Oryzias latipes: one gene and its partners. The protein of the gene in region 5 interacts with the protein of the main gene of each other region in a pairwise test. Links are inferred from orthologs where the notes say so. Each region holds a gene or a part of one and is shown on either strand. Other genes may lie near its edges.

Evidence for each region.
Region 1: the proteins of nudt18 (region 5) and evi5l interact in binary tests that used the Homo sapiens proteins (3 or more experiments, as listed by UniProt). The two-hybrid records come from large-scale screens. The link is inferred for Oryzias latipes from reciprocal best matches to the Homo sapiens genes NUDT18 and EVI5L.
Region 2: the proteins of nudt18 (region 5) and dut interact in binary tests that used the Homo sapiens proteins (3 or more experiments, as listed by UniProt). The two-hybrid records come from large-scale screens. The link is inferred for Oryzias latipes from reciprocal best matches to the Homo sapiens genes NUDT18 and DUT.
Region 3: the proteins of nudt18 (region 5) and rabac1 interact in binary tests that used the Homo sapiens proteins (3 or more experiments, as listed by UniProt). The two-hybrid records come from large-scale screens. The link is inferred for Oryzias latipes from reciprocal best matches to the Homo sapiens genes NUDT18 and RABAC1.
Region 4: the proteins of nudt18 (region 5) and dhps interact in binary tests that used the Homo sapiens proteins (3 or more experiments, as listed by UniProt). The two-hybrid records come from large-scale screens. The link is inferred for Oryzias latipes from reciprocal best matches to the Homo sapiens genes NUDT18 and DHPS.
Region 6: the proteins of nudt18 (region 5) and nt5c2 interact in binary tests that used the Homo sapiens proteins (3 or more experiments, as listed by UniProt). The two-hybrid records come from large-scale screens. The link is inferred for Oryzias latipes from reciprocal best matches to the Homo sapiens genes NUDT18 and NT5C2.
Region 7: the proteins of nudt18 (region 5) and rab3il1 interact in binary tests that used the Homo sapiens proteins (3 or more experiments, as listed by UniProt). The two-hybrid records come from large-scale screens. The link is inferred for Oryzias latipes from reciprocal best matches to the Homo sapiens genes NUDT18 and RAB3IL1.

Annotation. Positions count from the first base shown.
Region 1 is NC_019859.2:2,642,080-2,645,579, reverse strand, and holds part of evi5l (EVI5-like protein), read right to left. Parts: intron 2,266-3,500; coding exon 2,149-2,265; intron 1-2,148. UniProt on the Homo sapiens protein: Functions as a GTPase-activating protein (GAP) with a broad specificity.
Region 2 is NC_019861.2:13,031,777-13,035,910, forward strand, and holds dut (deoxyuridine 5'-triphosphate nucleotidohydrolase, mitochondrial), read right to left. Parts: upstream 2,801-4,134; 5' UTR 2,765-2,800; coding exon 2,650-2,764; intron 2,329-2,649; exon of another isoform or gene 2,054-2,328; coding exon of another isoform or gene 2,041-2,053; coding exon 1,881-2,040; intron 1,738-1,880; coding exon 1,646-1,737; intron 1,557-1,645; coding exon 1,512-1,556; intron 1,411-1,511; coding exon 1,336-1,410; intron 1,107-1,335; coding exon 1,036-1,106; intron 651-1,035; coding exon 594-650; 3' UTR 495-593; downstream 1-494. UniProt on the Homo sapiens protein: Catalyzes the cleavage of 2'-deoxyuridine 5'-triphosphate (dUTP) into 2'-deoxyuridine 5'-monophosphate (dUMP) and inorganic pyrophosphate and through its action efficiently prevents uracil misincorporation into DNA and at the same time provides dUMP, the substrate for de novo thymidylate biosynthesis.
Region 3 is NC_019874.2:20,933,491-20,935,572, forward strand, and holds the end of rabac1 (prenylated Rab acceptor protein 1), read right to left. Parts: coding exon 2,008-2,082; intron 1,339-2,007; coding exon 1,250-1,338; 3' UTR 501-1,249; downstream 1-500. UniProt on the Homo sapiens protein: General Rab protein regulator required for vesicle formation from the Golgi complex. May control vesicle docking and fusion by mediating the action of Rab GTPases to the SNARE complexes.
Region 4 is NC_019866.2:13,273,114-13,277,251, reverse strand, and holds the start of dhps (deoxyhypusine synthase), read right to left. Parts: upstream 2,801-4,138; 5' UTR 2,669-2,800; intron 2,264-2,668; 5' UTR 2,259-2,263; coding exon 2,064-2,258; intron 1,822-2,063; coding exon 1,675-1,821; intron 1,593-1,674; coding exon 1,471-1,592; intron 1,138-1,470; coding exon 1,041-1,137; intron 931-1,040; coding exon 844-930; intron 721-843; coding exon 615-720; intron 543-614; coding exon 439-542; intron 1-438. Other genes in the region: guanine nucleotide-binding protein G(I)/G(S)/G(O) subunit gamma-12-like, read left to right, coding at 3,836-3,934. UniProt on the Homo sapiens protein: Catalyzes the NAD-dependent oxidative cleavage of spermidine and the subsequent transfer of the butylamine moiety of spermidine to the epsilon-amino group of a critical lysine residue of the eIF-5A precursor protein to form the intermediate deoxyhypusine residue.
Region 5 is NC_019867.2:402,651-406,771, forward strand, and holds the start of nudt18 (8-oxo-dGDP phosphatase NUDT18), read right to left. Parts: upstream 2,801-4,121; 5' UTR 2,711-2,800; coding exon 2,692-2,710; exon of another isoform or gene 2,646-2,691; intron 2,372-2,645; exon of another isoform or gene 2,368-2,371; coding exon 2,198-2,367; intron 2,126-2,197; coding exon 2,015-2,125; intron 1,944-2,014; coding exon 1,841-1,943; intron 1,764-1,840; coding exon 1,640-1,763; intron 1,564-1,639; coding exon 1,439-1,563; intron 1,096-1,438; coding exon 713-1,095; 3' UTR 1-712. UniProt on the Homo sapiens protein: Mediates the hydrolysis of oxidized nucleoside diphosphate derivatives. Hydrolyzes 8-oxo-7,8-dihydroguanine (8-oxo-Gua)-containing deoxyribo- and ribonucleoside diphosphates to the monophosphates. Hydrolyzes 8-oxo-dGDP and 8-oxo-GDP with the same efficiencies.
Region 6 is NC_019859.2:29,631,490-29,635,441, reverse strand, and holds the start of nt5c2 (cytosolic purine 5'-nucleotidase), read right to left. Parts: upstream 2,801-3,952; 5' UTR 2,303-2,800; coding exon 2,275-2,302; intron 2,183-2,274; coding exon 2,062-2,182; intron 518-2,061; exon of another isoform or gene 501-517; coding exon of another isoform or gene 499-500; intron 1-498. UniProt on the Homo sapiens protein: Broad specificity cytosolic 5'-nucleotidase that catalyzes the dephosphorylation of 6-hydroxypurine nucleoside 5'-monophosphates.
Region 7 is NC_019864.2:15,779,452-15,782,042, forward strand, and holds part of rab3il1 (guanine nucleotide exchange factor for Rab-3A), read right to left. Parts: intron 2,569-2,591; coding exon 2,385-2,568; intron 2,269-2,384; coding exon 2,173-2,268; intron 1,910-2,172; coding exon 1,832-1,909; intron 1,689-1,831; coding exon 1,452-1,688; intron 1-1,451. UniProt on the Homo sapiens protein: Guanine nucleotide exchange factor (GEF) which may activate RAB3A, a GTPase that regulates synaptic vesicle exocytosis. Promotes the exchange of GDP to GTP, converting inactive GDP-bound Rab proteins into their active GTP-bound form.

The DNA of each region.
Region 1 (3,500 bases), on a different chromosome or scaffold from region 5:
CTGTGACTGTGAGAGGAAATACCTTCCAGGGAAGACGAGTTTTAAAAAGTGTAGCAGGTTCTGTGATTGCACAGTGATGTTCTGGATTTCTAGGAACCGTATACAACAAAAAACTTCTGGATTTAAGATTCAAAAATATTTTTTTTTTATTTAGCTCCTATATATCTAGACAATGTTCTTATTTTCAACTGTGGCCTGGCAAAAGGAAAGACGTTTTGAGAAAAGAAAAGAGGAAACAGACAAAAAACTTCAGCAATGAGACAAGACGGTCTAAAGTCATAAAAATCCTTAAACGGTATTCCTGCATTTTTCCCTAAAATATCTATTAAGATACCTTTGAAAGATCCGCTCCGATGTAAATGGTGTTTTTAACATGTTCTTGTTGCATTTTTTTCAATGATGGAGGATAAATATAAAGAAAATTCAGCTCAAATTGCATTTCTGAGTATTTTCTTTGTATAAGCCATTGTGGATCAGGAGCAGACAAAAAATGCTGGTGGAGAAACAAATTATTTGTGACGTAGAAAATACGCTGGGCGGGCCACAGTCTCCCTGCTCCGCTCCATTCTGGTTCATCCACTTTTAGACAAATAGATCCACGTTTTCCTCGTCTGAGCTGGAATCTGGATCAAAACTGTACAGCTCTGATATTGCTCACTACTTTGTTTCACCGGTAACATTAGCTTGGGGGTGTGAGGGGCTGTAAGCTAGCGGGAGAGAGTGTAAACATTTGGAAAACTTTAACTTTTGATGCAGTTCAGGGTAAGTTGTGGCTCAGTGAAACTATGCAGTAACGGTTTTCTCATTGTGCCTGGACAGGGGGGTGACAGAATAGAGGATTGTGTCATCAGCATAGTGGAGGATGCGTGAGTCTCTTTGAGGGACAACTATGTTGATTATGTAGATAAGAGAAAAAGGGTTGGTCCAATGATAGATCCCTGTGGGACGCCTGTGGTGACACAAGGAGTCTAACTAAATTGCTCTGATTTAAACATTACTTTCTCTCAATTGTGGTTCGATATATCAGTGTTTTTCAACCAGTGCGCCGCGGCACACTAGTGTGCCGTGGAGATGGTCAGGTGTGCCGTGGAAAATTGCCCTCATTAACCGATCTAAAAACATTTTCCATCTCCAGGATATCGGCTCTGTGTTCATCCAAACAGGCCCTGATAAAACACTGAGTAGTTAGGAATATAAAGATTGTAAATGACTTTTTTCTTTTTTTAGCCACAGCTACAGCTGTATTAGGAAAAGTCCCGCCCCTTCAACTGCCTCCACCAATCATTCTTGGAGGCTTAATCACATGTCATCAGTCTGACCAATCAGAAGTGGTTAAAGTCCTCACTTCGATTCTGCTCATAAAGTTGTTTAGTTCCAACAAAAAGACCAGCTAAAGCTCATATTTAGCGATGTAGCTTTCCGCGGGATCCGGTGTCAGACTGTGGAACAAGTGAACAAATCAATGAAGCTCAGAGACGAAAGTCTGTCTGGCGTTTGGTGGCTGTTCGCACTACATCTCCCATGAGGCACTGGGTTAAAGTGACAGCGTCTCAGCGCACAATGAATCTTCCTTTGACGTCTTGAAACAACAACGAACACACATCAGACAGTTTTTAAATCTTCTAACTTAACTTTTATTACATCTTTTAGAAAAAACAGCTGCAAGGGACTGTAGATCAATACAGACTTTGGGTTTCTCCTTTTTTTAATTTGTTTTGATACTGGGATGTCGCGGGATTTTTATCAAGGTTAAAGTGTGCCGTGGCTCAAAAAAGGTTGAAAAACACTGCTATATATTACTCCATGTGGTCCACGGTTGTGCCAAAGCTGCTTAAAACACAAGTTTACCTTGTCTAGTAAATAAAATAGGAAGCTTTTTTCACACCAGAAGGTTCTGTGGGTGATCCGCGACCAAACAGAGGAGTGTTTGAGAAACTGTTGCTTCCATTCATTTGCAACAAACAAGCAATTTCCACTGAGGCGTTTTTTTTCTGCGTGTAGCTTTCAGTTTGATGTCACCTTAAAGTCACAAAGACTATGAGAGGCTGCTGCGGCCCGTCAACACGTGAAGTCAAAACGAAAGCATGAACATGGGGGTTAGTCATGCGTGACGCATCCACACGCATCACGCCGTTTATGGAGGAGTACCTTCTCCAGGTCCAGCACCTTGTCCTGCATTTCCTTCAGCGCTCCCAGCAGTTCGGCCTCGTGCAGCCGCGACTGCTCCAGCTGCGTCTGCAGGTTGCTGACAAACTCCTCTGTGTACTGACAGAAAAAAAGAATAAGAATAAGACTTCAGCAAGCAAAAGTGTGGCGTGTCGTTTGATGGATTTGCGTGATCTTTAACGAGCCCGAGCGTCGCTCAGGTTTCATGCATCGTGGGAAACAAACTGACCCCCTTTGTTGAGTTTTTGTGTTGTTGTAATAGAACAGAGCAGCAAACAACTGCTCATGTAAGAGCTTGTGGTTGAGCTCATGTTTACCACAGAGTTTCAGCTAAATCACACATGTGAAGTCACACCTTCCAAACACGTTTCTTTCCCTTTTCTCATCTCCTCGTCTAAATAAGAAGAAGCTGTCACTGTCGTACTCCTCTGGAGCTGATTTTACCATTTCGGAAAAGTGTAGCTTTATTTTTTGTAGCAAAAGCTTGAAAAGAATCTAGAAAAAAAAAACGGTTCTGAATGACCATGCAGCAAAAAGCCATGTTTGTCATTGGAAAGAATGATGAAGACCTCGTGGCTGATGGCACCCAGCAGCTGTTGGAGGCTCTGAACCAGAGTGATGTCAGTAAACAGAAACCCTCAGTGCTTTCTGCTCATTCATGACACCACATCAAGGTGAAGGCGTGCAGATGATAGTAAAGAGGTTCAAATGGAAAAATGCTTTCCTATCAGGCTAAATACTCAATATTGAAAGTGGGTAAGTACATAGCGTGAGTGCAAGATTCTCGATGTGACTATCTGAGCCTTTCGGTCTTTGTTATCGAAGGCGCTGAACAGTGACACCAATCAGAGCTGGAATAGAAGTCATCAGTTCATCAGTCCCAGAAACATCATTTAGAGTGAATTTCTTCAGGTATTTTTCTGCTCAGATGACCTTTGATTTGCATTTCTTTTTGCTTTGCTTATCTATAGATTAGTACGGTTCTTAATAACATACAAATTAAAATCGTAACTATATAGAACTCAAAAACTTACATTTCTATAATTCAAATTCATTCTTTATTTTTTTACTCATCCAATCCAACAGCTGATCAAACAGGTCAGAGCTGAAGGCCTCATTGCCTTGATTTTACTGTTACAATAAAGGTTTATGAGTCTTCTGACACACGAGGTGTATATTTGTACAAACCCCTTTTGTATTTTAGATTAAACTTTATTGATATTGATTATGTTTGCATACTTTTTTTTGTTGGGCCAGATGGAAAACAAGATAATACAACAAAATACAAAGTTTACAATTATCTGTTTTTAAAGTGGAATGACATAAAGGAAAAA
Region 2 (4,134 bases), on a different chromosome or scaffold from region 5:
CGCACATTCTCTCACAAGTTAAATCAGTGCCGCATTGCCACGGACCAGCGAGACACCCGTCTGTGTTCTCTGTTCACATCAAGTGAGGGTTAAGTTGAGAAATTCACAATAAAAACAACTTTGGTGTACGGTGAACTCCCTGCTTGGCTTTTCCCCTTCGTCAAAGTTGAAACCCGAGACAGACGCTAACTACACCAAAGCTGCAGTTGTGCATGACCAAGGTGGGGTGCAGCAGTGTCCCCGAATGTTTTGGCTAAGTACATTTCAAATGCAGTTAAAGGGCTCTGAGAAACCGAAGCACACGCCTTCCAGATGCTGGAGAATTTCACACCTCCACCCCTATGATAATTACACTACACTACTGCAGGAATGTGGATTGTAACAGGAGTTGGGCTGCAGGGAAATTGTCTTATACTGCCACCACGTGGAGATTATGAGTATTACAACTTTAAGACTGATCTAAAGTTTAAAAAAAGTGGATCCAAACAAGGAAATGTAGTTTATGAAACTGTAAAAAATAAACTTTATTAGCACCTAGGTAACATAAAATAACTTCATCAGTGTATTGTCACTTCAAATTTGTTTCGAGGTCTTCAGTTGCGTCCAGTCGATCCAAAGCCTCCAGACCCTCGCTCCGTATCATCAAGTGTCTGAAAAAGCATGACAGATCCAAGTAAATTAAAACTTTTACAGTGAGCAATGACATCTGTATTTTTAGATGGTAAAAGACCCTCAACTTTCAGTTTATGAAGAAAACAAGTATTGCTGGGCTTTGGTGAACTGAGTGTTACGTTTCTTTCATTGTAGGGCTGTCGTGAAACCTGCAGGACTACATGTTGATCATTGTAGAGCCACAAAGATTGCATAAAAACTAGTACTGAGAGATGCAAGTATTTTTTTCAAACACAATGAATTCACACAGTTATTTTATCACAACTTTAAATGAAGAAAAACAATTTAAAGGTTTATTTTTTGGGTAAAACATTTCTTTTAGTAACATAAATCAAATAAAACAGCTGTAATGTGTTGGATTACCTCTTGCTCTTCCAGCTCTGGGTAGCAGATTCTTTCACACACCAACTGAGCAACCCTGTCCCCTTTTTTCACTGCAAGGAAGAACACCAGACATTTATATGGACATCTGCATCTGCCTTAGCAAACACCTCTCTACTTCCCTTGTATAATGCTCCAACAACAAGCATATCCACTGTTTGTTATAGTCAATTATGTCATGTTTACAGGTAAGCCTAATATTCCAGGGCATTTTTACTTCCCAGCTGCATGTAACTGCTGGCACAAGTGACATAAATGTAGTGTTTATTGACGGCAACTCACCTTCAAATGTTTCTTTGCTAAAGTTAAAAAGCACAACACCCAAGTTTCCTCTGTAGTCCTCATCTACAACCCCAGCTGAGAATGCACACACACACACACACAAAAACAGGAATTGAAATGACCAACACATAGGTTAGGCTGTGACAATGAGCTCAAAAAAAGAAAAAGAAACATACCACCAACATCAATAAAATGCTTGGCAGCCAGTCCAGACCTTGGGGCTGAGAAGGTAAAATGGTAATAATAGTCTTAAATTGTGTTGCTAAAAAAGTACAAGGATATAAAAGAGCAGCTCTTCAGTTCAACTCACCCACTCTCCCATAGCAGCCATGAGGAACTGCAATCTGAATGTCTGTCTTCACAATGGCCTTGTCCATGGGACCAATGGTGTAATCATATGCACTGTTTCACAAAAAATAAAGTTATTTAAAACATTCTGATTCCACACAGGCGAACCTAAAACATGTTTGACGTTATTCGTGTTAATGTTTAGGAATGATTGTCACACCAAAACACCTGTGCATGTACAATAAAAACCGACTAACCTGTACAGATCATATCCTGCTGCCTTGGATGAGCCTCGCGTGGGGGTCGTGGCATTCTCAGAGAGCTTAGCAAACCTAAGAACCGTTCTTTGCTCCTCTGCTCTAGGTTCTGTCCGAGCTCTCTTTGATGGAGAGACTGCTGAAGCATCCGTGACGACGTCTAACACAGGCATGGTAGCAAAGTATTACAGTTAAGAACCAGAAGACGGTTAAAAAAATACCAAAAGTAATACAAAACTAAAAGCTATGTGCAACTCGCTGTGCAGCTTCGCTGATTTCTGCAACCTTCCGTTCCAGTTTTTTGGAGGGAAAGCAACTGTTTGAATTAAGCGCTCGCGGGCAGGAAATAGTTCCTCCCCCAAACAGGAAACGGAGACAGAACTACCGGGGTTGATGCATACATAAGCAGCAAAACGAACAGATCAAATCGTGTTTTTTATACACATTTATTTACAGAGTCATTTAAACAAAAAAGAAAAAAAATAGGCAAATAACTGCACTTTTCATCCATAAAATTATCTTCCAATGAAGATGTTTGCCAGATTAGAGTGACAAAGAAGTTCTTCTTGGCATGCGAAACACAGCTCTGTGTTGATTAATTTCTTAGCATTTACGTCCTATAAAAAATAAAAATAGATTTCGCGTCGGTCCACCCTGTTAGCACACACTCTAGCTAAAAATAAACCAACCGGGGAGACACACAGACAGCGACTAAAAAGCTCGCTTAGTCTAATGATGTCAGTAACCTCTTGACATAAAATTATCTTGCCTTTATTTTCAGTGACCATTTGAGTGCTAAAGTTGTTTCCCAGGAAACGTGGAGCAGTAGAAAAAAACAAAGATCGCCGCTGAGAATATCGCAGTGCTGGTAATATACGTAACATTATTAGCTAACAGCTCACCTCTCCGAGCAGCATCTTCTTGTGCTTCCAAAATGGGATTTTGTTTTTACGGCTCACTACCGCCACCGTGTGCTGCGGAGGATAATGCAGGCGAGCCTGACATACCAAGAAATCTGTGATCTCTACCTTGCAAACGTGTAAATATAGACTTTTCTTCTTTCTAATCCATTGTGCTCAACGCCAGAATCTACAACTTTTCATTTGCTATTAAATTTCTTTCTGACTTTTTAACTATACTTTATTGATAGATTGTATCTAAGCAATCAATGAATCTTTACAGTAGTCACGTCAATCTACCTTATAATTGGAGTATAATGTAGTGTAATTCTCACTGTGTAGACCCCTAATGTGTTAGCTGTCTACTATTTTGTATCCTTAGTGGTACTATCTGGATAGATTAGAATTAAAAATATAATTTGGACAAGTTCAGATAAAAGAGTTTGCACAAATTTCCAAAAATTGCAAAAGTTTGTTGTGATACATAAAACCACTATCAAAGTTTTTTCTTAATTTTTTTTATTCTATTCTTTCTTTATTTTTTTTAATCATAAAATGTTTCTCTGAATGGTGTAGCCCACATTACTGCTCTGTGTTAAGAAAAGCAGCATTGTCAGATAGTTCATGCTCATGTTTTGTCTCATGCAAAAGAATTTTGTGCAATTGTTCCCCCAAATTACCCCACATAATTATTGAGAGTTGTATGCTTAATCTGGTGAATCTTTTCCACGGGCTTTCTTTTTATTGTAGTATTTTGAAAGAAAGTCTCACACAACAAAATACTTGTCTGTTACATAAAAGTTTAATATATTTATAAATGTGGGGGGAGGGATTTTTACGTTACACTTAACAAACAAACTTTTACTCAAACAAACAAAATGCCCACATACTTTCATTAATAAAATAACACATCAGCAAGCAAGATTTGAAAGAACACCTGCTCATACATTATGTTGTGCTGTATCTCAGGTAATCACATCTGTTAATTAAATAAGAAGAACAAGGAAATTGGTGAAATATACAGCATAGTTGGTCTTCTGGTACTTTTGCATCAGATGATTTGGTTAAAAAATATGGATTATGATTGTAACTTGAAAACATGACAGTGACTAAAGTGGCTCAGGTAAACAATTGCATGAGGGCAATGCACGCTACATCCAGTGAACATCAAAATTAAGAAAAGAAAATTAACTCATCATTAACACAGTGCTCATAGAATTTGCATTACCTTAGCCAATAATCATTTGTGAAAGCTTTCTTTGTTCAAAAATTATCAATTTTAGGGTTATATATACATGTATTTTACAGTGACTAATGCACAGTGTGTTTGCCTCTAACTCTACCTATCCAGTTAG
Region 3 (2,082 bases), on a different chromosome or scaffold from region 5:
CACTCTGGCTGACAAACCCCCCCCCACACACACACACTCTCACCCCCGTTCTAATTTCCCCCGTGTCTCTGCAGCGAGCTCACTGCAGTGCGACTGTGCTGCCTCCCTCGTCACCCTACGTATAATAGAATATCGATCGCCTGCCTCTGCCGCAGTGTGTAAGCGAGTGTTCCTGCGGACGAGTGTTCGTCTGACTGGGGCCCTCCAAGGTCATTGCCATGGCAACGTGAAGACGGGGGCCTTTCACCGTGCTGCCACAGAGCACAGGTCGCAGGGGTCGCATCAAGAGGGGGATGAGAGGGGGTTGGCGAGCACTGCAGTACCGGTGTGCTGGAAGAGCGCCGCAGCCACAGCGACGGGCATCCACTTATTTGACTTTATACAAACTGGAGCCAAAGAAGATGGACAGGTACAGTGCAAAAAAAAAACATGCCTTCACGGCTTCAGAGGTCATTGCATCCTACAGGAATTTACTCAAACATACGAATTACAAAACAATGTTTTTTTTAAACACATTTTATTGCACTTCCAAATCTTAGCAAAAGACAACAGTTACATCAAAATAGACAATTTCAGAAACAAGCTTCATGATTTGGACACCATCAGACTAGAACCGAAAAAATATTTACCAAATGTAAGAGGCAAATACTGACCTTCTCTGACAAGTTTTACCACCAACTTAAAAAGCCCTTTTTTAAAATGTTCTAAATACAAGTTTTTGTACAATGTTATTAGGCCCACTATAACTTTTGAATGGCACTTCATCTTAAAAAAACAAAAATGTAAATGTTTTCTCAATGCGAGATACCTGTTGTTGTCAAGCAGAATCTATTTCCCAATAAATCTGCACTATAGTGCAGCACAGACACACTATTAATAAGTAACGTCATTTTTGATAAAAGATAATGCAAAGAGCCAGAATAATCATACAAATAAGAAGCAAACATGCACAGAAAGGCATAGAATCTGTCAAATGATGTGCTCTAAGGCACGTTAAACATAAAATTGGTCTGCATTGATGAGTTTGCCATTAAGAACAGTAATCGATGAGGCTGGACGAGGTGCATTCTTGTGTCTATATCTGGAGGTAAAACAACAGGAATATAAGATACAAATAAAGAAAAGGAATCAGTTTCATTGCAGCTTTCCCCCTCCTAAACCCTTGAGGGCTGATGCAGTTGTAGGGTCAAAGGGACCCCCCAAACATTGACCAGCACCTGGGAAAGTGTTTCACCCTCTTTTTTTTCTTTTACACAGACTCCATGAGCAGCTCCTCCATGTCGGATCCCTCCAGCTCACGGAAAACCGCATGTGTGCCAATCACAAACAGTGTTGCTCCTAAGACGAAAGAAGAAAAGTCAGGAAAACCAGACAAAAAAAAAAGTCCTAAATAAATGAAATTACATCATTGTTTAGCTGATTATGGTCTAGGTGCATTCTTGTGTCTATATCTGAGGTAAAACAACAGGAATATAAGATACAAATAAAGAAAAGGAATCAGTTTCATTGCAGCTTTCCCCCCCCTTGTGCTATCTAAGATAGCACAAGGGGCAAAAACATCCCCCTTTTCTGTTTCTCCACTTTTGCCTCTTTCTTAACCCTTGTCCTATCTTAGATGACCCCACCCTTACATTGACGTGTTCTCCCTACCATGACAAAGGTGGATAAAGGTGGAAAGATTTCATGTAATCCATGGACACCAATGAAGATCACAAATCATTGAAGAAAAAAGGTTCAGAGCACTGTCTGGTGGGTCTAGATGACCCAACTCCCAGTGGTAAAGGGCCTAGGATAGCACAAGGGTTAAGCCAGCCTGACCAAACCTGACCAAGTGCCTAAACCCCTGTTGAGGAGCAGCTCTCTATGTTCATGGAAGTTGCCACAACAGTATTCCTTTGGTTACCAACATAACTTGAGATATCAATGTAGCTCTAATTTTACAACTGAGTGTTTAAAGAGATGTTCTGGTGAACATAGAGTATGACGGAAACACTTAGTTTATCTCACCAAGAACCCAAAACACAGCAGCTCCAGCTCCAGCCAGCCAGAACACCGGCAGGGACAAGGCTCCAGCGAGACCCA
Region 4 (4,138 bases), on a different chromosome or scaffold from region 5:
AGATAGATAGATAGATAGATAGATAGATAGATAGATAGATAGATAGATACACATGTTTTTGTGCTTCATAAAAGGAGGTCAGAAAAAGAAAACTAAATTAGCACTCTATTTAGTCAAAGAAAGTGCATCTAAAATTAAAAACTACATTAATTTCTGAATAAAATGACTGTTTTCTTTCTAAGCACATTTACATCCCATGCTGTTAGAAATGGCGTAAAAGCTTTGCAGTATTTTTAAAGGACACAATAAAACTATATATAGCAGTTAACAAAAATTGAAACCACTGCTCTTTTAATATGTGTTGAAAGCAACATTTGACATAAAAAAGTGTAATTTCAGAGAAATTCCCCTTAAATTTCCCCCTGCACAAAGGTTATTTTCTGTGCTAAGTGCCACGTAAATGAGAAAAAGGGAAAACTAACGAACTAGGTCAATTACCATAAGGTTAGCATTGGCTATATGATGCTTCACCAGCCCTCCTCCCAGGATGATCATTCCGGTCTTCTTGGCAAAAACTGCCAGACCGTTCAGTCTGCGAATATCTGCAACAAACACCACATTCATGAGACGACTTAGCCCTAACTTTACTATAGAAAAGGGATTTTTGCTTTCACCTTCTACAATGTCCAAAACCAGGCCAGGATTTTTAAATGAGTGAAAGTAAATCATGTCACCCAGAGAGCCATCGGTGAGAGCAGGACTGAACACGGGGATGTTATTCTGAAACAACACGGCACAAAAAATTCAGTTGAGCAAATAAAATGAGGACAAATTCTACTTAAAAAAAGCTAAGAAATGACAACACATTCAATCATTTCAGTTACCGACTGCTATTTTGCTAACCTTATAGGCCCAGTAGTACACAGAGTCAGTATTATTGATCTCTTTGCCCAATCGATGGATCATTTTGGAGGGAGTCCAACGCACACCCTAGTGGGAGAAATGGAATGAATTTGCAGTTGCAAATCTTTTTAAAAAGTGACTGTTAAAGCATCACTGCTGTTTCAGACGTTGGTAATTGATCAGAAAAAAAACCTTACCTCTGTGTTCTGCTCCAGCAGCATCTGGTCCAGAATGGGCATCAGCCAGTCTTCAAATTTACAGTAGTTATCATTGGGAACCAGCAGATTCCCAATCCTATAGTCATGGCAGACAGAAGGAGAAGGAGTTCAGAGAAGGAGTGATGTTTTTGTATCTTAACTGATGTGTTCCTGATGAAGCTGCTGTGAGGCGCGATTGCAGCTTAAATATGACTATAGATACTGAATGCAAACTCACAGTCAACAATAAAAATAGTTCCAAAAATAACAGATTTATCTAGAAAATTTAGTGTGACAACAGCACCCAAAGGAGCAGCTGTTGATGAGCTGTGTGGAGTAAATGCCAGTCAAAATGCCCATCCCTCATTTTTGTCATTTTAAATCCAACAAGTGATGTCAGAAATTAGCATATTAAATCTACAATAACAACCTGTTGATTCCTTTCAGCCGGAGTTCCTTCCCAGACAAACTAAAATCTCCTAAATAGGTGTGAGCCAGACATTTAATCAAGTCCTCTTCAATTCCTCCAGCTGTGGTTACAATCGCATCCACCTAAAACAAAGTAAGAGAATGTAAGAAACGGCTCTGTCTGTTAGCGTTGACAGTTTCGGACAAGCATGACAACCAACTGTACCATTTTGTGCTCTACGAGGTACCGGATGCTTTCTCTCACTCCAGAGCTGATCAGATTGGAGGTGTAACCCAGAAAGATAGTGCAGCCCGAGTGTTGCTTTAACTCATCTCCATCGTCTGCTTCCATTGGCTCGAGGCGTTTCTCAATCTGTAAGGTGTTAAGTAGTTCATAATAGCCACTGGGACATACATTTAATCAAAATAATCCCACAAAAGCAATGCCAAATAAATATAATCTAAAGTCTGACGTGAAGTACAATCAGTAGATAAGGTAGAAAAAAATACTGAACATTTTAAATTTATATTTAAGGAAGATGCAAACAAACTTTTCTGGAGATAAGGAATGGCACAGCTGTGTACAGGGAATTATTCTCTATTCGGCTCACATACCATGTTGTTGATCTGTTGAATGGCCAAACTTAGGCTGCTGGCCTGAAAGCCTGTGGTGAGGTAGGACTTCAGCACCGCCTGCAGATCGACTCCGTGGTTGAAGTCATAGCCTCGGATTTTTGGCATGTCGTCAGGGAGGTCATCGCTGGGCTTCAAGACAGCCTCCATGGCTACAGAGGGGGCGTGGTCTGACATTGTTCCTGCAACCAAAAAAATCCACAACAATAAAAAAAACTGTCATTGTGTTTCTGAGTTGGATTATTTAAAACAAAAAACAAGGGGGGTGGGGGGTCACTTTAGAAACTAAAGTACATTTTCCTCCAAGCACATTTTTACAAGAACAAAACTTGATGCACTATAATTCATTTTAATTTAACACATTTTAATTAATATAAAGTTGACAAAAAAGCCATTAAGCTGAAAAACACATTTACTAATAGCATTGCTTTTTTTAAAATCATAATATTAACTATCTGAATATATAGCAAAACAAAAACCAGAACAATTTGGATCATAAACACAGATGAGAAACACAGATGCTAACTAAAAGAGTCTTCTAAACAAGGTGAAAATGAAAACAGATACATGAAAACTTTAAAACATACCTGTTATCAAAGAGAGACTAAGTTATAATGGGATTAGGGGCCAGGTGACGGCAAATGCGCAGATGGAACATAGCCAGTAACCATCGCATGGGCTACATGTAGCATGAAGCTAGCTAGCTACGGAAAGCGTGAAGGTACAAACAATGCCAACCGCACAAACTTTTTTCCTTTTAAAAGCAAACCTTCACTCTCCCGGTTTTTTTTTTTCCATCATCTTTGTCATTGCTTTTAAAAAAATAAAAAAGTACATGCTTGTGTTTAAAAGTTTTATTTGACTATTACGCTATCAATTGCTATTCTAAATAATGCTTTAATTTGAACATTAACTTTAATCAATTTAGAAACATTGCTTATTTTTATTTTGCAGGAATTAAATAAATTAATAATAAAGTTTTTTAAAGCATGTTTGAATAAAGCGCAAAACAAATCTAAAATTTTGCCCACTTTTGTAACATTTTTACCCCAAATTATAACACATTTAGTTGTATAACAGAAATCTGTGATCACTTTTAGATGAGCAGTTCAAAAATTGAAGAGACTTTCTTTTAAATGCACCTTTAAGGTAAGGGCTTCACTTAAAAACATCCTCAAAGACATGTCAGACCCTGGAGATGATCTGTTTGAACATCTGTATTTCTATCAGGGAAGGGTTACAGGATAATCAGGGTCAGGGTCAAACAAACTCAAGAAGCGCTTCTTTGCAACAGCCTCTCAATATTCAGTTTTCATTAGATAGAGAATTCAATTTGTATAATCTTTTAATTTGATATATTATTAATTTAATGAATATGTAATTGAATATACATAGGCTTGCTGCCACTTTAGTTGGCACTTTAATTTTGCTGCAAATGGTAAAATGAAAATGAACTTGATTCTATTTCTCTTCTACTGCAGCACTCTTATAGAAAAAAGCATGTGTTCCTGTTTTTCATCAGCTATGCCTGTGAAGTAAAATGTATGATGTTGCTGACATTTTGGTCGGTTGACCTTCTCTTATCACAGGGTCTTTGAACTGCCCACACCTTTGAATAAAAAGAGGGCACAGGTCAGACCAGCCTCTCTGGGCAAAGTGTCCACAACGGGAGGTCACCCTGGGTCAGTTTAAAAACTGCTCCAGCGCCCTTTTCCTGCAGAGACTGTTGAAACAGAACTCTTGCACTGAAAGGGATGTCTGGAAAAACTCCCAGCTGCAGCAACAACAGTGTTATTCAGGCACAAAAGTTGGTGGAGCAACTCCGGCTGGAGGCAAGCATGGTGAGATTTAAGGTACGTGAAAACCACTCACTTCAAAATTTATTTTACATCTGTATTTTAAACATTATTTTTGTTGCTTTGATTGGGGGGAAAAAAACAGATGGAACAAACTAATAAGAAAGAATCCAAAAGTCCAAGTGTGTGTGTGTGTGTGTGTGTGTGTGTGTGTGTGTGTGTGTAAAATTGTAATATTCTTTGTAATGTCCTTTGCTCAAG
Region 5 (4,121 bases):
AACAGAACGCCGTTAAAGTGCATCAATGCCGTCACACATCATTCAGACACATTTCAGTCCAAACGTTTGTCTCATTTCCTAGAGAAAAGTTCATTTAAACACGACCTTTAACCCCACGATCTGCACTCAAAAACCCCTCAATGAAAGTCTTTGCCCCCCTCCCTGAGAAACGATTTCTTCATCACACATTGAAGCTTCTGTGTTCATCAGCAGCTGAAGGAACAGATGTTGATCTGAAACGGTGTCTCCTGAAGTCTGGATGTTCTGAACATCTTCAGGTTCTCCCACGGCCTCTGACACGTTTCCAGGAGTCACACGGACGTTCCTGCAGCTTTAGAACTTCAGAGATCCATCAGAGAACCTTCGGTGGAACCATCAATCAAAACGGCTCCACAAAGAGATCTCATCCTGAAAGCAGTAGAAGATGGTTCCCGATCCAACAGTCAGAAGAACAAACGCGGATCCATGAAGGAAAAAGACACGGCTGAGGAACAAGAACCCAGAGGAACATCTGGATGAGCCACAAACGGACCTTCCTGGGAGGAGAACGATTCTGCTCTGAAAGCTTCACAGTCACACATTCACATTGACAACTGCAGGAAACACTGACGCAACATGATAATACCCCTCAGGGGGCAAATACTTTCCCTCCATCTGAGACGCTGAGGTCGTGAGGTCACCCTGAAAGTCCGCTTGCTGTCACTGAGCGCGCTCAGTACAGGCTGTGAATCGGCAGCACGGACGTGTTTCTGGTTTTTTCCAGAAGTTTCTCTCTGAGATCCAGATTCTGAACCTCAAACCAGACGTATCGGGGGTTCTCTATGGGTGGGGGCCTCCCCGTAGGCGGGAGCTCCACCTTCAGTCCGTCCTCGTCACGTTGCACGCGATCGGGCACGAGCGCCACCAGCGTGTTGAGGCAGACACCGTCCGTGCGCCCGTGCTGCCGCCCGTTGTGCTGCAGGCCGCAGACGCCCAGCGTGGCGACGTCGTGGTCGTAGTAGGACGACGGCAGGGCCTCCTGCACCACCATGTTGGCCGCCCACGTCACCGCATGGGTTTTCACCGCCGCGGCGGTGGGGAGATGGGGCGTCGGGCCTGCAGGTCAGGAGGAGGTCAACAAGATTTTCAAAATAAAAGCAGTCATCCTGCTGAAAAAGGAAAATAAGAAAACCGTCAGAAAAATGCACGGGAAGCTTTGCTCCTCCTCCACCAGGGAGGGGGAGGAGCCAAACTACTCCTCCCTGGTGGAGGAGAGAGTGGTCGGTGTTAGACTCTGATTCAGGAGGAACCAGGCGCTTCATGACCCGGTCAGGGAACAGGAGGTCAGCTCTACGCCTCACACAGACGGCGTATGTAAGTGTTTGTAAGGGAGGAGGGTTGGAACCATTTTCCCATCATGCTTCGGGACCGACATCAGACTGTGTGTTGGGGGTTGTACCTCGGACCAATAGGATCCAGATCTGATCTTCGGCACCAACAAAGACCAGGACCATCCTCTGCACCACGTGACGACAACTCAGGTCAACTGGCAGAGTGACAGGATGCCAGGGATTCCTGCGGTACCTGAAGGCAGCACCGTCAGTCTAGACAGCGGGAAAACCTCCACAGATGTGATGTTCGGTGAACGTTTGGTGTTTACTTGAGCCCGTTTTCGATGAGGCGGAGGATGTCTCGTCCTCTGAGGGGGAGGGGGGACTGTCTGTCCCACCAGGCGGCCTGCAGAGACTCCTGATCTGCTGCTGCCAGACTCTTCAAACTACCACCTGGAGAAGAGGAGACCCAGGTTCACTGAGGTTCCCCCCCCCCCCCCAAAGAGCACCCCGGGTCGCTCTGACACCACCTGAGATCCTGGCGAGGAAGATGAAGCGGATCCATTGTGGCCCTTGCTCCTGGATGAGCAGCATGGTGATTGGCTCACAGTCAAACCCCGCCTCCTCCTTCACCTGCAGACAGCCACAGAACAGGTAAGCCAGGAAGTGGGTGGAGAAAAAAACATGACTCCTGCATGCCTCACCTCCCTCCTGAGCGCCTCCTCCAGGCTCTCCCCCACCTCCACCCTCCCTGCAGGAAGGTACCACTGCTTGTAGCAGTCCTGTTTGGCCTCCTGCACCATCAGCACCTCCTCCTAAAGGAGCCACACGAACAGGCTTCAACATGAGGAGGAGCGGCCGCCGCTCTCATGGCGTGCTGGGCTTGCCTTCTCATTGAAGATGACGGCGCAGACGATGTAGGTAATGTTCTTCCTCAGCGCCGCCGGCTTGCTCTGCTCCATGCCGACATCACAGAGGCTGACCTCTGACCCCTGGCCACTCAGCAGCCGCTCCACCTGCTCCTCCACCAGCTGCCGCTCTGATGTCATCTCAATGTCTGCCTAGACACGGGGGAAAAAATGGGTCCTAGTTCACGTCCAGCACAATCCGTGTGATGCTGCTTCATGTTCAAGCTTAAGTGAGGAGTCCCAGCAGAACCAGAACCTGAACCCAGAGAGACCCTCCATGTGAACCGGACCCTCCTGTGTCACAGAGAGGAGGCCTGGAGTTCCACTGATCAGCAGAGGCCCCTTCAGACCTTCATCCACTGCTGGGCTTTTCTCAGCCTAAAGTTTTGGTTCCAATTGGTTCTGCCTCCGTTTATTTGTGTACTTTGGGGTTCTGACAGGTGTGATGATGACGTGGGGGGTGGGGGGCTCACCAGTCTGCCTCTGTTTCATAAAACTCTATTGAAGAGGAATCTGGTTGTGGCCACCTGTTGAAACGGCACGTGCAGCTTTGAGCGTCTGTGGACCGGAGTCACGAACCGGATCCAAACGGAAGCTTCGGGACCAGGACCAGGACGCTCCTGCAGTCAGTTCTGTCCTCTGAAGAACCCCATCGTGGTTCAAACTAGTCCAGGTCTGCCTGAGGTGAGACTCACTAGATCTTCTCCTGTGAAACGCTGAGGTTCTCTTTTGTTACCTGGATGAACTCAGCAGAACCTCCAGCAACTCGCTGTACGTCGGTACTTCAGTACTGAGCTCTCTGCAGTAGCTGCTAGCTAGCATAACAGCTAACGGGACGCAAACTATTTGAGTTCTTCTCTCTGTTTAGCGCAAAACTGGGAATCTCGCAAATGAATTTATCATAAGCGCCATCTTTTTTTTATTTTTATTAAAAAGCGAACCTTTTTCTGCTTGGTCTCCGCAACTCTTCACACTTGTCAACGGCAAACAAACCAGGAAGTGCACCGTCTTTAACTTCCGGTTGGAGTTTCAAGCTTCATCTTAGACTTTTTAAAATTGCAACATTTTCTCAGTTATTTTACGTTTTTACAGACTATACTACGTTTAAATATATTTTGAAATTTGAATTTAAGTCGTTTACATCTTTTTATTAGTGTAGTGGGATTTTTCGTGACTAAACGGCCTTTATTGTGAAATCTGTGGATGAACAGTTTCTCAGCTTCCTGTTTTCATTTTCCGCTTCCGCGTGTTATAACGCTGAAAGGTCAGTCGAAGGCTGTAAGCGCTGAAACCGTGTGTCTGCAGTGATTTACCGGTTGGGACTAACCGGGCAGAAACCCTCCGTTTCTGTAGGGGGGGTTGAAGCTGGACTCGTGAGTTTAACTTCTTGTTCTGACCTCTAGGCAGTTTTCAGCAGCTGGGGGGTTCTGGTCAGAAGAGGCGGGTTCCGTCCATCCTGATGTTCTGCAGCTTCATGTCTGTTTATTTGTCTTCATTTTGTCTCTTTCTGCTCATGTTTTGACTTTTTTATGCCCCTTTGGTTTGTTACGTAGGGGGGGGGGCTGTTTGTAAAGTTACAGTTACATTTTAACTGAAATATTTTTGGATATTTAGCAGGTTTCATTTTAAATGCAGGTTTTCACATTTTGATACAATCTATTTTTTAATGTTTTATTTACTAACTACTTTTTTAGTTTGCAAGCTAAATAGTTAAAGTATTTTCTTTTATAATTAAACATTTAGTTAAGTAATTAAAAGGTGAAAATATGGATTTGAAAGATAAAACCTGCTAAAGTAAACAATAACTGTCACTTTACAAGCGGGTGGCTGTAGTTTAGCACCAAAACTGTTTGGCAGTATTTCCTAAACTGAGACCACGCCCTTGCCCCCCCCATGGCAAAGC
Region 6 (3,952 bases), on a different chromosome or scaffold from region 5:
ACCGGCAAAACATTCTGTGTGAAATTAAGCTGGAGTCGGACTGTTCTGACGGGCTCCCCCCACGGCAGCCAAGAGCCGTGGCCACAAACAAAGCGCCCTCCCTCCCCCCGGCTTTCTTGCCATTCAGACATTTTCTGACTTGTTGCAAAAACGATTGTGGCCTTTCCGCATCCTTCTCTGTTGTTGTGTGTTGCCAGTTGGGGCTGTTGTTGTGTGATGTTTGTGATCCCTCGAAGAGGTCCAGAACAATCCGAGGCGGTGTGGAGCGAGGCGCGCCGCAGCAACAGCTGCAGAGCTCGCTGTGGAAACGCGAGCAGCGGTGGCGGTCCCAAAAGCTGATATTCACCTCTAACAGGCTGGAATCTGCCTTAAAGCTGCAATCCAACAACGTTACAACACTGATCTCAGTTTTTATACGTTTTAGAAGAAAAACTACACTCCCAAATAAACACTGAAATATCTGAATTTTCCTGAAAAAGATCAAACAGTCTTACTGACATTTAACTTAGCCTCCTCAGAAGTTTCAGGAAGACTGAAGTCCATCAGCGAAAGAAGAAGCAGCTGTTCTGCAGAAGCTCCCCGTCAGCCTGATGGAGCCAGCCGGCTCACGTTGAGCCGCAGATTTCACTCCTTTTCTATTTTAGAGCATCATTAGCTTTGGAAGGTAAGATCTTTCCGGGGGGGTTAACAGCACCACAACACATGCCACTCCTTAGCGACCCTAGATTAACAATAGCAGGGGTGGACTCTGCCCCTGCATGTTACCCCCTGCAGATAAACACTGATATCAGCTTTATTACTGTAAAAACAAAATCTTGTTTTCCCTATGTGTATGTGTGTATGTGTGGGGGGGGTCCTGGGTTTTGGTTATAGACGTTACTAAAAAGGCTATAGAATCAGACGTGGTGTTTAACTGGAGCTTGGTGGGCTGAAGGCCTGGGAAGTTCTGCACAAATGTTCATGCCGAGAACCAAGCAGTCCAATGTGGGATCCGATCCAACAGGAGCTGGTCTGCTTCGTGATTTCCGACGTGTCCCACATAACAACCACCAGAGACTCGGAGGGGAAGCATCACTACAGACCCGGAGCCCAAAGAGACAGAAAAAAACCGCTATCCACTTCAACTCCTTTCAAAGGTTTATGCAGAAAAGGAGGCAGATGAAGAAAACAGTTGGGTGTCAACAGTTTTTTTTGCCTCTGAATTGATTAAATTATAATTATGTTGTAATAAAGTAAATAATCCTTAATGTACAAAGTACCACAAGCTCAAAGTGTGGTTTAATTTCCAATTTAACACAAATCCTTTTATTCAAAACCCAACTTTGGTTGTCTCCTCCTTTCGCCGGCTCCCTTTAGAGATCTCTCTCTCTCTCTCTAGGCCTCTGACCTGGTAGCTCCAACCTCTGCATCCATCTCCTATAATAATCACAGTTCCTCCTCTCAACATGTCCAAACAATCTCAATCTGCTTCTCTGCATTTATCTCTGAAACATCTACCATGATCTGGTCCTCTGACGGATCCATTCTTGATCCTATCCATCTTCATCTCAGCTACCTCCAGCTCTGACTCGCCCGAGGAACATGGCTGCACCGTCTTCTACACCTTTCCCTTCATTCTGGCCGACGCTCTTTAGTTACACATCACACCTGAAACCGTCCTCCCCCCATTCCAACCTATTTCCCACACTGCTTCTCATACTTCACCTGCCTTCACAGGCCGTCCACGAAGACGCATTAACAACACCAGCAGTATCTGCTCTTGCGGGTAACAAGAACAGGAAGAGGCTTCGTTTTCCTGCCCACAACGTCAGCTGAGGAAACCAAAAACAGCTCTTCTGTATTTCTGAAGAGGATTTTTCTAAAAGAACATGAGCCACTTCTTTCACAAACGCACTTGATGGCTCCAGCTTTTGGAAGTCCTTTTTCCTTGTTTCAAAATGCTGTTTTGCATCCAATGTTACCATAGTTTTCCGAGTTTAAATCAGTTGTGGGAGGATGATGAGAGAGGAGTCTGTGATGCTTCCTCTGCGGATCATCAGATCTTCAAGTGGGGCCTCTCACCTGTGGTAGGGCTCCCTCCTGTATTTCTTCATCGCCAGGCCGTCCATGGTGGCGGGCAAATCTGCGTAGTTCTGCAGTCTGTCGCTCCATGAAGTAGTCATCTTTCTAAAGTGTAGAAAGTCTGAAGAAAAGAAACACAAACAGAACACAACGTCCTGTCAACTTTAGATGAGTCGGTCTGGGTAATTATGCTTGTTTAAAAGATTTTCTCACAACAGGGGAACATCAGAGGTTGGATCATTAACCAACACCAGCAGATGACAAAAACCGGACACAGATTTCTAACTCAATCAGTCTCCGTCCATCACCAGAACCTCCAGATCAACAGAGAAACGTGATTACAGCGGCTTGAGCCTGTGGACTTTGATCAGTCAGCCTCGCGCTGGTTTCTCCTCTGTTGACTCTGGGGTGGGGGGTGGGGGGCTCCAGCCCGACGGGGGCTGTCAGTCGGGCCGCAAACGCCGCGTGTGGCCTTCAGGGACACGGGGAACGGACAGTCCGGGGCCGCGGCGACTTGGGGGCACCTCCTTGACAATTGTCGCGCGCGTGTAAAGTCATAAAATATTGACTTGTAGGAATAAGCGACCGCTGACGTCATGGTTTACGGGTTTTCGTCGACCTCTGTTTAGTTTTTTTCCACGGTTGAAGCTAGCTAAAAGGGCCCCCACTCCGGGAAGGTCAGCCCAAGCTGAGCGAGTGACTGTCTCGAGAAACAAAAGCCGTCAACGGCCCGCGCGGGTTCGCCCGCCTCCCGTCACGGATCTGGCCAAACTCACCTCGGGGCTCCTCAAAAACACTAAAGCGCGAACGGTTGGTCTGAGCATGCGCCGTAAGCAGAGCAAACGCGGGCAGAAATCCTCAACGCGGAGCAGCAAACGTTCGAATGCGGGGCTCTGTCTGTGCGGGGCTCTGTGCTTCCCTGTGAGCCTCCTGCGGGTGTAGGCGGCGTTTGTCTGAGCACTCCTCAGAGAGGCGGAACTGGCTGTCTTCGTGGCACCGACACGTGACCTGCTATGGGATGTGAACACACCGCAGTCCTCGCGCAGGCCATCCCATAATACTCCAACCTCACCCAAACACCCTTCACGCTCACCTACCTGCCTCTGAGTCTGAACGTCTGCTCCTGCAGAGAAGTTCCTGAAGACTGCTTACTACATGATAATTAAATGGAGGGCAGCCTGGAGCTGTAGTCGAGTACGAGTAACGGTATTTCTGAGTATATTGCTCAAATAGAACAAAAAGCATGCAAATGAAGGATTCATTCATCACATCTGTTTGAAGGAACTTTTCACACAAATTATGCAGAGCTCCATATTATTTCCAGCCCAAACGCATTGATAAAAAAGGCACCTGTATGCATGTATCCACCTCATGCATGGTTGCTGTTGCGTGGAAACAGAATACAGGAAGACAGCTGTTATTTGGTAAGGGTGGCAGCGGGGGCTCCACTACTTGGCAGTGACTGTATGGCGAAAGCCTTGTGGTGGAGAAGTTTCAAAACTTCCTTTCATTTTTTTTTCTTCCAGTGATTTTGTTTGTGCTTCCTGTGCTGCTTCCTGTCCTCTGGTTGCCATAGTTACTAGCCTGCCATATTTGTTTTGAGGCAGATGGTGCTGTTTTTCTGCGTGTGACTGAGAAACTGAGAAAAGATGCAGAGCCACAAACCGTCGTGGAGCTCTTGAGGGATCCCATAATGATTCCACTTCACCACCGTGCAGCCATTACCAGGTTTTTACTTGGTTTTTATGTTCAGAAGTCTGCGGATGAGCGCCGACTCTGAAAAATCAGTGTAATAACACTAAAAGCTCAGCTGATAGTATACCATCCTGCACTGTCTGCACACATCATCACTGTGGAATGAAAGCTTGGATGTCTGTACGGTGACTGCCTC
Region 7 (2,591 bases), on a different chromosome or scaffold from region 5:
TCCTGAATCCGATACGTATCCGATCTTTTAAAATGCGACCCCTGTCTGAACGGCCAGGACACATGTATCCGACTTGTACGTCATTGATACGCTACAAACGTCATAATTCTGCGTTGAAGTAGGCACGAACTAGAACATAAACATCAACCATGGCGGACGATGCTGCTGAGACCAGTCAGTGGAACGGACGCTAGGTCACCGATTGGATTAATATTTGGGGTGACAGCTCTGTTCAGGCCAAATTCAAGGGCTCTCATCGCAACCGGGCGGTTTTTGAAAAATTTTCCAGCTATATGGCCGAGCGTGGTGTTGAACCTGCCCCGCATGACTATTTTCCCCCTTTCCGACCGTGGTCAGAAACGCGGGGGAGACCTTCTCCAGGGCCGAAGGCGGATCCTCCTTCGGGGTTCACTTCCCCATTCGGACCCTCCGATTCTCCAGAGCAGGTTAATAAAGAGTCAAAAGCAGTTCTGCTGGGGGGAGCCTTCTTTTATTATCGTTCTCCTTCCTCCGTGACACACAACATGATTGCACGCCCCCACTGCCCCTCAGAGAGGAGAGTGTGCGCGCAGCGCAGCAGAGAATACTGCACTGCATGCACACTTTCCTCTCTCTTACACACACGCACGCAGCCCCAGCACATCCACATCCCCATTCAACAACAGTGGGTCCAGACAATCCTGGCTCCAATAAAATGAGAAGATTGTAATTGTGCTGGCTCCTTTGTGAAAATAAATGTAATAATGCAAAAAGAGATCCGCTGTTGACAACACTGTTGTTGACATCCATTGTTAATGTTAGCTACTTCCGCAAACAACGAGTGATGTCGTTCACCGCTGAGTACTCTTCTGCGCATGCGGGTCACTTCTGGGTCATTTCACGTTCACACAGGAGATCACAAATGTTCGCATTTAATTGGAAATGTGAAAGGCCTTGCAAAAAAAATTGAACTTTTTCAAAAAATCGAAATCGAGCATCAAGCCCTGCAGTGTGAATGTACCTATGGCAATCCTGATGACTCAAAAGTCTAGAATAATATGGGTTTTGAGCACCAGTTTTTCCACTATTTTGACACAAAGCTTTACCACCCAAATAAACCACAAATCACTAAAAAATACAAAGAAAGTTGCATGTTTATTTAATGAACATATCAAATACACGTGTCGATTTTTTTTGCATTCAATATTTGTTTCAAGAATAAAGCGTTGGCACCTGCTTGTCCCAAAGAGTTCATCCTGACAGACTGACCTGATAGCAAGCAGAAAATGAGAGCATGAAGAGCAGGAACAAAAGACTGAGAAGACAGGACACACCAAAGACGGACAAGAAGACAGATAAGGAAACATAGGTCAAACTGACTCAAGAAGAGGCTTAAGGTATAGAAAAAGAAGGAGTTCAGAGTTACAAAAACACTAAAAGAGAGAGACAAATCCCAAATATTTTTTGGTTACCTCTCTATCCTCTTTAGCCACAGATGGAATAGAATGGGATGAAGATTCCAGCTTCCCAGCTGAGGTCGGAAAAACTCCACTTACGCTCTTGTTGCGGACATGGCCTCCGACATGTTTGTATGACCCTCTTGTACCTGAAGTCTGCAGCTGTGGATGCAGCTGCCAATTAGGTGAGGAAGGCGTCGATGTCAGCACCAGAGTCTTGAGTGCAGTCACCTCTGCCTGCAGAACATCAATCTGATGGGACAAAGCCAAAGAACAGTTGTGAAAATGGACTTGGTAGCAAAAAAAAAATACTCTAAAACATTTTTAAAGGGTTTGATGTAGGCCATTACTGTTCAAAGTATCATGATTATGAGCACAAAAGAACATGTGCACACCTTTCCTTGAGCCTCTTTCAGCTGTTTTTCTGCTCCTGCCTGTTTCACATTGGCTTCACGCACCATCTTATGAGCCTCCTGTTGAAAGACAACCAGACATTTTTCTCTGATAAAAGACAATCACTACACTAAATCAATAGAGTAGACGTTGATCAGCTTTAGAAAGGACCAAGCATAAAAACACTTGAAATCTAATACAAATAAAATAATATAAAAATGTCAAATACAATGTGTTGAATTCACCTTTTCATGCATGAATAAATATTTTTGTTCCAAATAGTTTGGCACACAGTGTCCCTAACACTTCTACAGCAACACAGGAAACTGTAGTTTTTGCTAACCTCAAACAGACTGGCAGTCAGTTCCTCAAGTTCTTGCTCCAGCTGGTTCCTGACTTGTGACAGACGCTCACACTCCTTATCTTTAAGTTTCAGTTCCTGAGATGGACAGAAAAAAAACAACGAATCAACTGGGAAAGAAAGACTGCACCGTCAACTTTTTTGTTCAATTCTCTCTTTGTTTATGCCTGTGCGTATAAAGTAGGTTACCACACCCTCTTAGCAGCATCCAACTGTTCTCTAAGAATCTCAGAGCCCTTCTCTCTTATCTCCTTTTCTCTTAGTTCCAGTGAAGAGCTGCGCAGCCTGGTGAGCTCGCCATGAGATCTGCCCGAGGGGGGCCCACCTTGGACCCCTCCCTCCAGTCTCAGGTCCGGCTCTGGATCCAGGTCTACCAATCTGCAGAAGACCACAAACAAAAG